Linked DNA regions of Mus musculus. The protein of the gene in region 1 purifies or fractionates together with the protein of each later gene. This does not show direct contact. Links are inferred from orthologs where the notes say so. Each region holds a gene or a part of one and is shown in the gene's direction. Other genes may lie near its edges. The genes, in order: Casp9 and Dcc.

What was found.
Region 2: the proteins of Casp9 (region 1) and Dcc purify together in Homo sapiens (co-immunoprecipitation; 3 studies listed by BioGRID and IntAct, with this or other methods). This does not show direct contact. The link is inferred for Mus musculus from reciprocal best matches to the Homo sapiens genes CASP9 and DCC.

The regions. Positions count from the first base shown.
Region 1 is NC_000070.6:141,792,220-141,796,598, forward strand, and holds the start of Casp9 (caspase-9 isoform 1 precursor), read left to right. Parts: upstream 1-1,392; 5' UTR 1,393-1,635; coding exon 1,636-1,767; intron 1,768-4,215; coding exon 4,216-4,379. UniProt on the Homo sapiens protein: Involved in the activation cascade of caspases responsible for apoptosis execution. Binding of caspase-9 to Apaf-1 leads to activation of the protease which then cleaves and activates effector caspases caspase-3 (CASP3) or caspase-7 (CASP7).
Region 2 is NC_000084.6:72,348,176-72,352,740, reverse strand, and holds the start of Dcc (netrin receptor DCC precursor), read left to right. Parts: upstream 1-1,671; 5' UTR 1,672-2,294; coding exon 2,295-2,385; intron 2,386-4,565. UniProt on the Homo sapiens protein: Receptor for netrin required for axon guidance. Mediates axon attraction of neuronal growth cones in the developing nervous system upon ligand binding. Its association with UNC5 proteins may trigger signaling for axon repulsion.

The DNA.
Region 1 (4,379 bases):
GTGGTGAATCTCCTTTACTTTGGGGCAACTAACCCCCTTTGAGTTTCTCATTACTGCTCTCCCCAGATTTCCTGTTTGTAAATTCACCTCAGCTGCTCCTCCCGAGTGTACATCCTATTTTATGGAAGGAAATGTTGACTGATGCCCAAATCAGGAAACAAGTGTAATATTATCGTTTGACATATTCCAAGGTGGATTCTTGGCTATGAGTCTATTCTGGTTCTGGTCACGCTGTGAGATCCCTGACACATGTCTACAGCTGTCATCAAGGAATAACTATATCCCTGTCAGGAATGTGGCATAAGGCTAGCAGAGAGAATAGCGTAAGGGGCTAGCACAATGCCCAATTACTTTTTTAAAAATGTGTTTAATTAGTTAATGCATATATGAGCACTCTGTCTTCATGCACAGAGGGAATCAGATCCCATTACAGATGGTTGTAAACCACTATGTGGTGGCTGGGATTTGAACTCAGGACCTCTGGAAGAACAGCTGGTCCTCTTTACCCTGAACCATCCATCTCTTCAGACCTTGTTCAATTACTTTTTTTAAAGATTTATTTATTTATTACATGTAAGTACACTGTAGCTGTCTTCAGACATCAGAAGAGGGTGTCATTTCTCAATACAGATGGTTGTTGAACCACCATGTGGTTGCTGGGATTTGAACTCATGACCTTCAGAATAGCAGTTGGTGTTCTTAACCGCTGAGCCATCTCTCCAGTTATTTCAATTACTTTTTAAGTCGTGGAAATAAGTGGTACAAAACTGAGAGAACATAGGATTAGATTCCTGGCAGTTTCTCTGGGGGAGGTGCTGAGGAGGGAAAGAGAGCGAGATCTAACCAATGAGCTTGGTTAGATTGAGGGCACGATAGCCCTGAAACAGCAGGCAGCAAGAGGTTTACTAGCCGCAGCGTTAGAAAGCCACAGCCAGCAAGGGACTTGAAAGATCTAGGACAAATGTCTAGGCGTGGTTTTCTTCCCTTTTCTCTCGTGATCCTTTGAGTATCTGTAGAAGTAGGGTCATTGTGAATTTTGGTAGAGCAATCGCCATGCGAGGGGAAAAGTTACAACTACCGCTAAGCAGAACCAGCAAATGGGAGCAAGATAGCAAGGCAACCACAAGGCCTGGAACCCTAGGGGAGAGTCTGGGATGCAAAGGAGGGCTTCGGGGCGGGGCGAAGGAACTCGGTAGGGCGGGATTGCTGGTCTACGAGGCGAGGAGGGGCGAGTCCTAGGGGAGAAGCGTTATCATGTGAGGCAGGTCTTAGTCCGTACGGCGAAGTGATGGGGCGGAGCTTGAATGCAGCGCCAGTGGGCGTGGCGAAGCAGCGCGGTCGTAGGGCGTGGCGAAGGGGCGGGGCCTGAGAGCGCGGCGTTGAGGGAGGTGTTGGGGGCTGGTGGTGGGGTGAGCGGCCGTGGGAGCTGTTTTGATTGCGGAGGTGGAGCCCAGTGAGCGCGAGTCACAGGCCGCGGGGCGGGGCGGGGCGGGGCGGAGCGGAGCCCAGTGGACCGGGTGACCGCTGGCCGGAGCGGGATCCCTGGAGGCGCTATGTGGGGGCGGGGCGTGGGCGCCGGGGCGGAACCCGAGGGCCGGAAGCGGACAGAACCCGGGGTCCCGCAATCGGCTCGCCATGGACGAGGCGGACCGGCAGCTCCTGCGGCGATGCAGGGTGCGCCTAGTGAGCGAGCTGCAAGTCGCGGAGCTCTGGGACGCTCTGCTGAGTCGAGAGCTCTTCACGCGCGACATGATCGAGGATATTCAGGTGCGCCCCGCCTCCTTGTGTCCGCCCTCTTTTTCCCGCGGCGCAGATAGGGACTGGGAGGTCGCTGAGAGGTTCTCTGAAGCCACTACGGAGCTCCTGCCCTTTTTTTCCGCTTTGCACCCTGTGCAATCCACGCCCTGGGAAACCATGGTGTGGGAACTCCATTTTTAAAACCTTCCCCAGTACTGCCCTCTTAGTTCGCCACAAGAATAAAATAGAAGAACCCATGCTCCTCTTTTGTGGAGTGTTTGTTAAAAGCGGTCTGTAATCTGCACCGTTTGAACTTTTATGATTTTTCTCTTCTCTAGTATAAGGGCCCTAGACACCCACTTTAGCCTTATACTGGCACATTGTACCAGTCACTTCCCGTTTTTGAATCTCAGTTTCTAGGGCTGTGAAATGGAACGGTGGTCATCCTGTCCTAGGACAAGGACATAGAATCAGGATCTGTCTTTTTTGGCTGGGCTTTTATCAAGTGCATGTTTTATAAAGGAGTTCAGAAAAGAAGGAATTTGATGCAGGTAATGCAGAAGAATAAAATCAAACATTTGATTTTTTTTAATCCACTTTCGCCCACTTAAACCTAGAGCATGAGTCACAATGTTGATGGCTTGTGTAAAGGGGTGTATTGAATTTCTACGCTATATGGATTACTGTGTGAGTGGAATTATTCTGGATCAAAATATAATGGTGGCAGTATTATTTTCATTGTACTAGAGTTCAATTTTAGCTTGATAAAATTCTGTATTACACAAGGGAAAAGGTCAACTTGTTCAAAGTCTAAAGATGAGTATGAAAATTACAGAGAAAACAGGATAGCTGTATGCATAAATGCATCTTCTATTGGAAGATACAGAGTAAAAACTCTTAAAGGACTCTAAAAAGAGAAAAAAAAAACCACTTTAGCATCTTTGTTCCAGTTGATGCCTCACCACAGGTCTGAAAAGGGAATATTTCTTTCTGAGAGGATATGAGTGCCAGGCCCTGGGGGACTGTCTACAAGGCTGTCTCCAGCATCTGTATTGGAACGTGGCTTGGTCCAGTGAAGGAGATAGAAGAAAGTGGTGTAGAGTCATGTGGTTAGCTGCCAAATAATAACAAAAGTAGGCTCAGGAACACATTTGGATGGGCCCATACTGATCAAGAAAAGTGGTTTGAAGGGAAAGTCCTAGCCTTCCAGAAGGCATATTAAGGGGGATCAGGAGCTGAACTGCCCAGAGTGGCACCAGCAGCCACTGTCTTGCTCCCTTCTCCAGCCAAGTGTGGTCAAAACAGTTCTGCCCTTGTGTTGGCAGTGGCAGATTGTTTGAAAGGAGCAGTTTGATCCAGGGGTGCCGGCATACATCTGGAATCCAAGCACTCAGGAGGTAGAGGCAGGAGGATCAGGTGTTCCCAGGGCATCCTTGGCTACATGCAGAGTTTGAGGCCAGCCTGGCTACCTGAGATGGAGTCTTCAGAAGCCAAAACTAAGGACTGAGAGCTGCCTCTGTGGATAAGAGCATTGATTTCAGTTTTCAGAACCCATGTGGTAACTCACAACTATTGACTCCAGTTCCAGGTGTTCTGACACCCTTTTCTGGCCTCCACTGGTACCATGCACACACAGTTGCCACATACAGACTCAGATAGAAAGATACATACACACGTACATACATATACACACATACATACATACATACATGCATACTTAAATACTTAAAAGCAAAATCAGAACACGAAGCCTGATGTATAGCTTGTTTGGTACAGTGCTTGTCTAGCATGCATGAATCTCTGAGTCCAATCCCCAACATAAACCAAGCCTGGTGACTCTGGAGGCAGGAGAGTCAGAAGTTCAAAGGTCATCCTCTGCTATGTAGGAAGTTGAAGGCCAGTCTTGGCTACTTGAGAATTCCTGCGCCCCCCCCCCCCCAAATATGAAAGCTTTCCCCTCATACAAAAGAGAAACTTAACTTTTCTCAAAAACAAAAATGCTGGAGATCTTGATTTCTATATCCAGTTCTCTTATTTTAATGCTAGAAACAAACTGAGAAAAATTTAAGTACCTTGTGTAAACTACTGACCACTGTTTTTGCTACTTTTAGTAGGGCTAATTAGCACTTAGCACAGCACTGGACACCCACAGTAGGTATCTTTCTGCTTTGCAGAGGGACATGAACTCAGGGCACTGCTGGATTAGGTTCTGCCCACCTACCACAGGCATATTAAGGGGGATCAGAAGCTGAACTGCCCAGGGAGGCGCCAGCAGCCTCTGATTTCCTTCAGCTAAGTGTGGTCAGAGCAGTTTCCAACCTAGTGTTGGCAGTGACAGACTGTTGCTTGTTCCAGGGGTGGTGACACACACCTGGAAGCCAGGACTCAGGAGGCAGAGGCTAGGTGAGAAATGGGAAGTAGGTTAAGGGCCACATGGAAGTCCCTGGATAATGAGTGTCTGGTTTTCTATCCAAACAGCAGGCAGGATCTGGGTCTCGGCGGGATCAGGCCAGGCAGCTGGTCACAGACCTTGAGACCCGAGGGAGGCAGGCCCTTCCTCTCTTCATCTCCTGCTTAGAGGACACAGGCCAAGGCACCCTGGCTTCACTCTTGCAAAGCGGTCGGCAAGCAGCCAAGCAGGA
Region 2 (4,565 bases), on another chromosome or scaffold:
CTCTCATAGCTATCCTTAACCAACCTTGTGAAATCTGAGTGACAAGACAGAGGTGGGAGGAGGAGAAGGAAGGAATATATAAAAATCATGTGATGAAGAACAAGGGACAAGGGAGGCTGAGCATATTTCAGAAGGGGTTTGTTTTCATCATTTTCTGGCCTAAATCCATTTGTTTGTTTGCTTCATTCTTTTAACAAAACTGCAGTGCTCTTTTCCGAGTCCTGCTAGCATCTGTGAGTGGGGCAGAGACGAAAGGCACAGGGCACCCATTGCCTGAGGAGCCTGCCTGATGATGTCTTACAGAGAGGACAAAATGTGCAAAATACCTGGGCTTGGAACAGTTTTCTCAACTTTTACTGTGTACTGCTTTCCTGAAACCTGCTCTCTCTCTCTCTCTCTCTCTCTCTCTCTCTCTCTCTCTCTCTCTCTCTCTCTCTCTCTGTGTGTGTGTGTGTGTATGTGTGTGTGTGTGTGTGTGTGTGTGTGTGTGTCTGACGCGTGTCTGGTGTGTGTATGTCTCTGTGTGTCTCTGTGTATGGGGTGTGTGTGCATGCATGTGTGTGTGCATGCATATGTGTGTGTGTCTGTGTGTCTGATGTATGTATGCATGTGTGTGTCTCTGTGTGTGTGTGTCTGTGTGTATGGTATATGTGTGTCTGTGTGTATTGGGTGTGTTTGTGCCTGCATGTGTGTGTGTCTCTGTGTGTGTCAGTGTGTGTATGTGTTTGTGTGTATGGGGTGTGTATGTGCTTGCATTTGTGTGTGTGTGTGTGTGTGTGTGTGTGTGTGTGTCTGTATGAGTGTCTGTGTATATCTGTGTGTGTTTACACACGCCTTTCCTTCACAGTCTGTCTGTCTGTCTGTCTGTCTGTCTGTCTGTCCAGGGACTGAAGAAGTCTTTCCTTCTCTGTTAACACACTCTCATCATACGGATCGGCACAGATATAATAACTGTAAACTGTCCACTGGCACTTTTATCCCAACTGATGAAAACCTCAACCCTTGGGGATGGGGATTGAGTCATGTTAAATCTCCAGTTGGTTCGTGTTTCCTGGGAGACCTTGAGGATCCCTGAATAAGGTGAGTGCTTTAAATACCTGTACTTCTGATTCACTTCTGGAGGAGAGTGAGGAAATAAAATGCGCAAGGGAAAAGGTTCTAGCTCCACTCCCAAGGAAGCAGCAGTCTCGCGTTTGTTTTCCGTGTGGGGTGTTTCTGGGCCTCTGTTTCCCACTTCTAGAAGTGGGTTGCATTAGCTGATTTTTTTTTCCTAAACGAAATGTCTTTTTTTTTTTTAACCATGCACAAGAAAGAAAGTAAAAGGCTGGCCACTTGCCCTATGTGAAACACCTGCCTAGATTTTACAGTCATACAAATAATTTCCTGAATGCTGAAGATCAAAAATGATTGCTGCAAAGCCTCCAGATGCTCATGATGTTCTCTGGCTCCATTGACAAAAGTGACTTCCCACGCTTTGCCCACAGAGGGCATCCCTGCGCATTGATATGTAGACCAGGCAAACGCAGCTGCTGGAAGCCTCCTCCGTCCGCGTTTTTCCCCCCCTAAGCTTCGCTAGGCCCCCGCCCCCCATTGCGTGGAGTCTTTCCCTGATCCAGTTCGTTTCCCTCCGGTCTCCACATTTTCCCTTCCAACCCTCCACTTCTCCGGATCAATGGATAGTAAGGTTCCAACTATCAGCTCACACACCGCTGGCGGACACCCCAGTAACAAGTGAGAGCGCTCTGCCCGGCACTCCACCGCCTCTGCCCCCTACCCGGTTCCCCAGCTCTGAGAAGCCAAACCGACAGCATCACGGGCGCGGATTTTTCTCTCCAACTTTATCCAACCGACTACAAGGAAGCAGCCTCAACCATCTAACGCATGGCCAGCCACAGGATTGCTTTGCGTCTCCTCTTTAGCCCTTCTGGATATTCTGTTCATTGATGCCTCACAAGCCCCACGGAGAGCTGTCTCCCCTTTGCTTGCTCCCTCTGCTTCCTTGAGTTAGTTCTCCAAGGTGTTACCGGGGTTCGGGAGCTCTTGGACCGAATGGAACTTTTCGTTGCGTCTTCCTGCTGCTGATTGTGTCCCTGGACAAGAAAAAAAGGCTTCGCAGGCAGAAGAGGCGCAGGGGAGGTGGAGAAAGAGGTGGAGGAAGAGGACGAGGAGGAAGAGGAGGAGGAAGCCTAGGGGGCTCGGCGCGGGTGTGTGCATGTGTGCATGCGTGTGTGAGTGCATGTGTGTGAGTGCCACCGCTGCCCAGGACCCCCGGCCCCGAAGGTGTTGGCTGAAATATGGAGAATAGTCTTGGATGTGTTTGGGTACCCAAGCTGGCTTTTGTACTCTTCGGAGCTTCCTTGCTCAGCGCACATCTTCAAGTCACGGGTAAGAGGTCTTTTCCTTTCTTCTCTTCGCTCCCCCACCCCTTACCCCTTCCCCTTCCCCTTCCCGTTTCATTTGGAGAGTAGAATTAGAGTGGAAGAGAGATACTGTATTCGGTTTTCTCTCTGCCTACCGTTTTCTCGCGAATGATAAAAGACACAAGAAGACTTTTTCCTCCTGGGGGCGGAGGATGTTGGTGGGGTCGAGGGCATCTCTTCGCGCTTTTTCAATCTTGTGCTTCTCGCTTGCGTCTTTGCTTTTACAAATACTTGTTTTGTCTTGGGGGGCAAGGTGGTGAAAGTGATGGGGATGCTGATGGGGTTGTATTCTCAGAGCCTCACAAGCCTGGAAAGGGGCTGGTGGATGGGATAACAGGAGTAAGCGGGGATGACATCAAAGGTGCTTAGAGCAAGTCTGTGCTGGCTACATCTGCTGGGGATGTTTGTGTGAATACATGCGACCCTGGCTTTGCATTTTTTTTTTTTTTTGTACGTGCTGATTGAGAATCGAGAAAGAGACATATCCGTTTTGAGTACTTTGGGTGAGTGCATAGCGGTGCTTGAAGAAGAGGGGAAGAGGTGGCAGATGAAGGGATATGTATTTGAGATTTTAACGGTGGGTGAATGCTGTTTGCTAGTTAAGTCTCCAAATACCTCCAAGACACCTCCAAACTCCAAATGATGGATATTCTGGGAGACAGGCCTCCGGACCTCACTTGGCAAGCGTATTTTCTAATTAAAAATGGCAAAACTGTTGCGGGGCTAGACGAGGAGAAAGAAAGATCCTAAGGCTGCTCCCTGGGTGCTGCAGTCTCCGAATGCGGAGCTGAGGCTTCTTTCTGTGGCCGAAAGAATAAAAACGAACAAAGTGATAAGATTTTCTCGTTTTGCGGGACACCACCACAAGTAGGTGGGCACTGAGTAGAGGTTGCTGGTCTGCTGGGGAAAGACAGGACAGCTGCTGCGTGAGCATGCAAGTCCCTTCGGAATCGACCTTTCCTCCCATCCAAAGAGCGCCTCGGCTGGGGCCAGGAGTTAGAGAGGAGCGCCCCAACCTGTGCCTCCGAAATTAACAGGGAATAAAATTAAATCACAGCAGTCAAGTCCCCTGTCTCCCCGGAGTCCTAAACTCCGGCTGTCTGGTCCCAGTTGCAGAATCAAGGGTTGCGAACACAAGCAGAGAAGGCGTTGCTTCACGGTGTGGCAAGGGATTCAGGCCATGAAGCGAGCACCGAGCCAGCATTCAGGATTAACGCGAGCCCAGGCTCTGGGCTTTAATCCTTCTGTAGGCAGCCAGAGCGAGTCAGTCTCTCTCTCTCTCTCTCTCTCTCTCTCTCTCTCTCTCTCTCTCTCCCTCCCTCTCTCTCTCTCTCTCTCTCTCTCTCTCTCTCTGTGTGTGTGTGTGTGTGTGTGTGTGTGTGTACGCTTGAGTGTATGTGGTGTGTGTGTGTGTGTGTGTGTGTGTGTGTGTGCTTGCGTGCTGTGCGATGCCTATGATGCGCGCGCTTACCCTCACCCTCAGTTCAGTTGCCGGCCCTCCCTCCTCCCTCTGGGCGGTCCCCTCCTCCCTGGCTCATCTCTCCCAGAGCTTTGTCCTCTGTAATTACTCCCTTTGAAGGTGGGAGGTAGGTGTGGAGAGGGTAGGGGGTAGTTTATTCTTGTGGTAATAGAAAGTGTTAAAAATGCCCTCTTTAAACTGCAAATGCCGAGGGGCAGAGCAAGCTACATCTTTCTTGTACCCAGAAGGAGACTTGTGGTCTCCCTGGCACTTTGGGAGCACCTGGACAGAAAGGGAAGTTCAGAGATGCTCCTTACTAAGCAGAAAGCCCATCAGAGGAGAGAGAGAGAGAGAGAGAGAGAGAGAGAGAGAGAGAGAGAGAGAGAGAGAGAGAGAACCATAGTTGACAATATTGAATTAAGCCAAGTGTGCAAAATAGACAATGTTATCACTTATGCAATATTTTAAAGCCATTGCCAAATGATCATTTCCCTGCAAAAACTCGTGGTAGATGAATGGAGATAGATTCAATATGTTTTATTAATCCTTATAATAACATCACCTTCCTATTCATTTAGGGATTTGTTTGTTTGTTTATATTTAGTCATTTATTTGTCACGTTTTTATTTCAATTATTACCTTCTCAAACTTTTCTCTTCGTAGACAAATCTAACAACAACAACAAC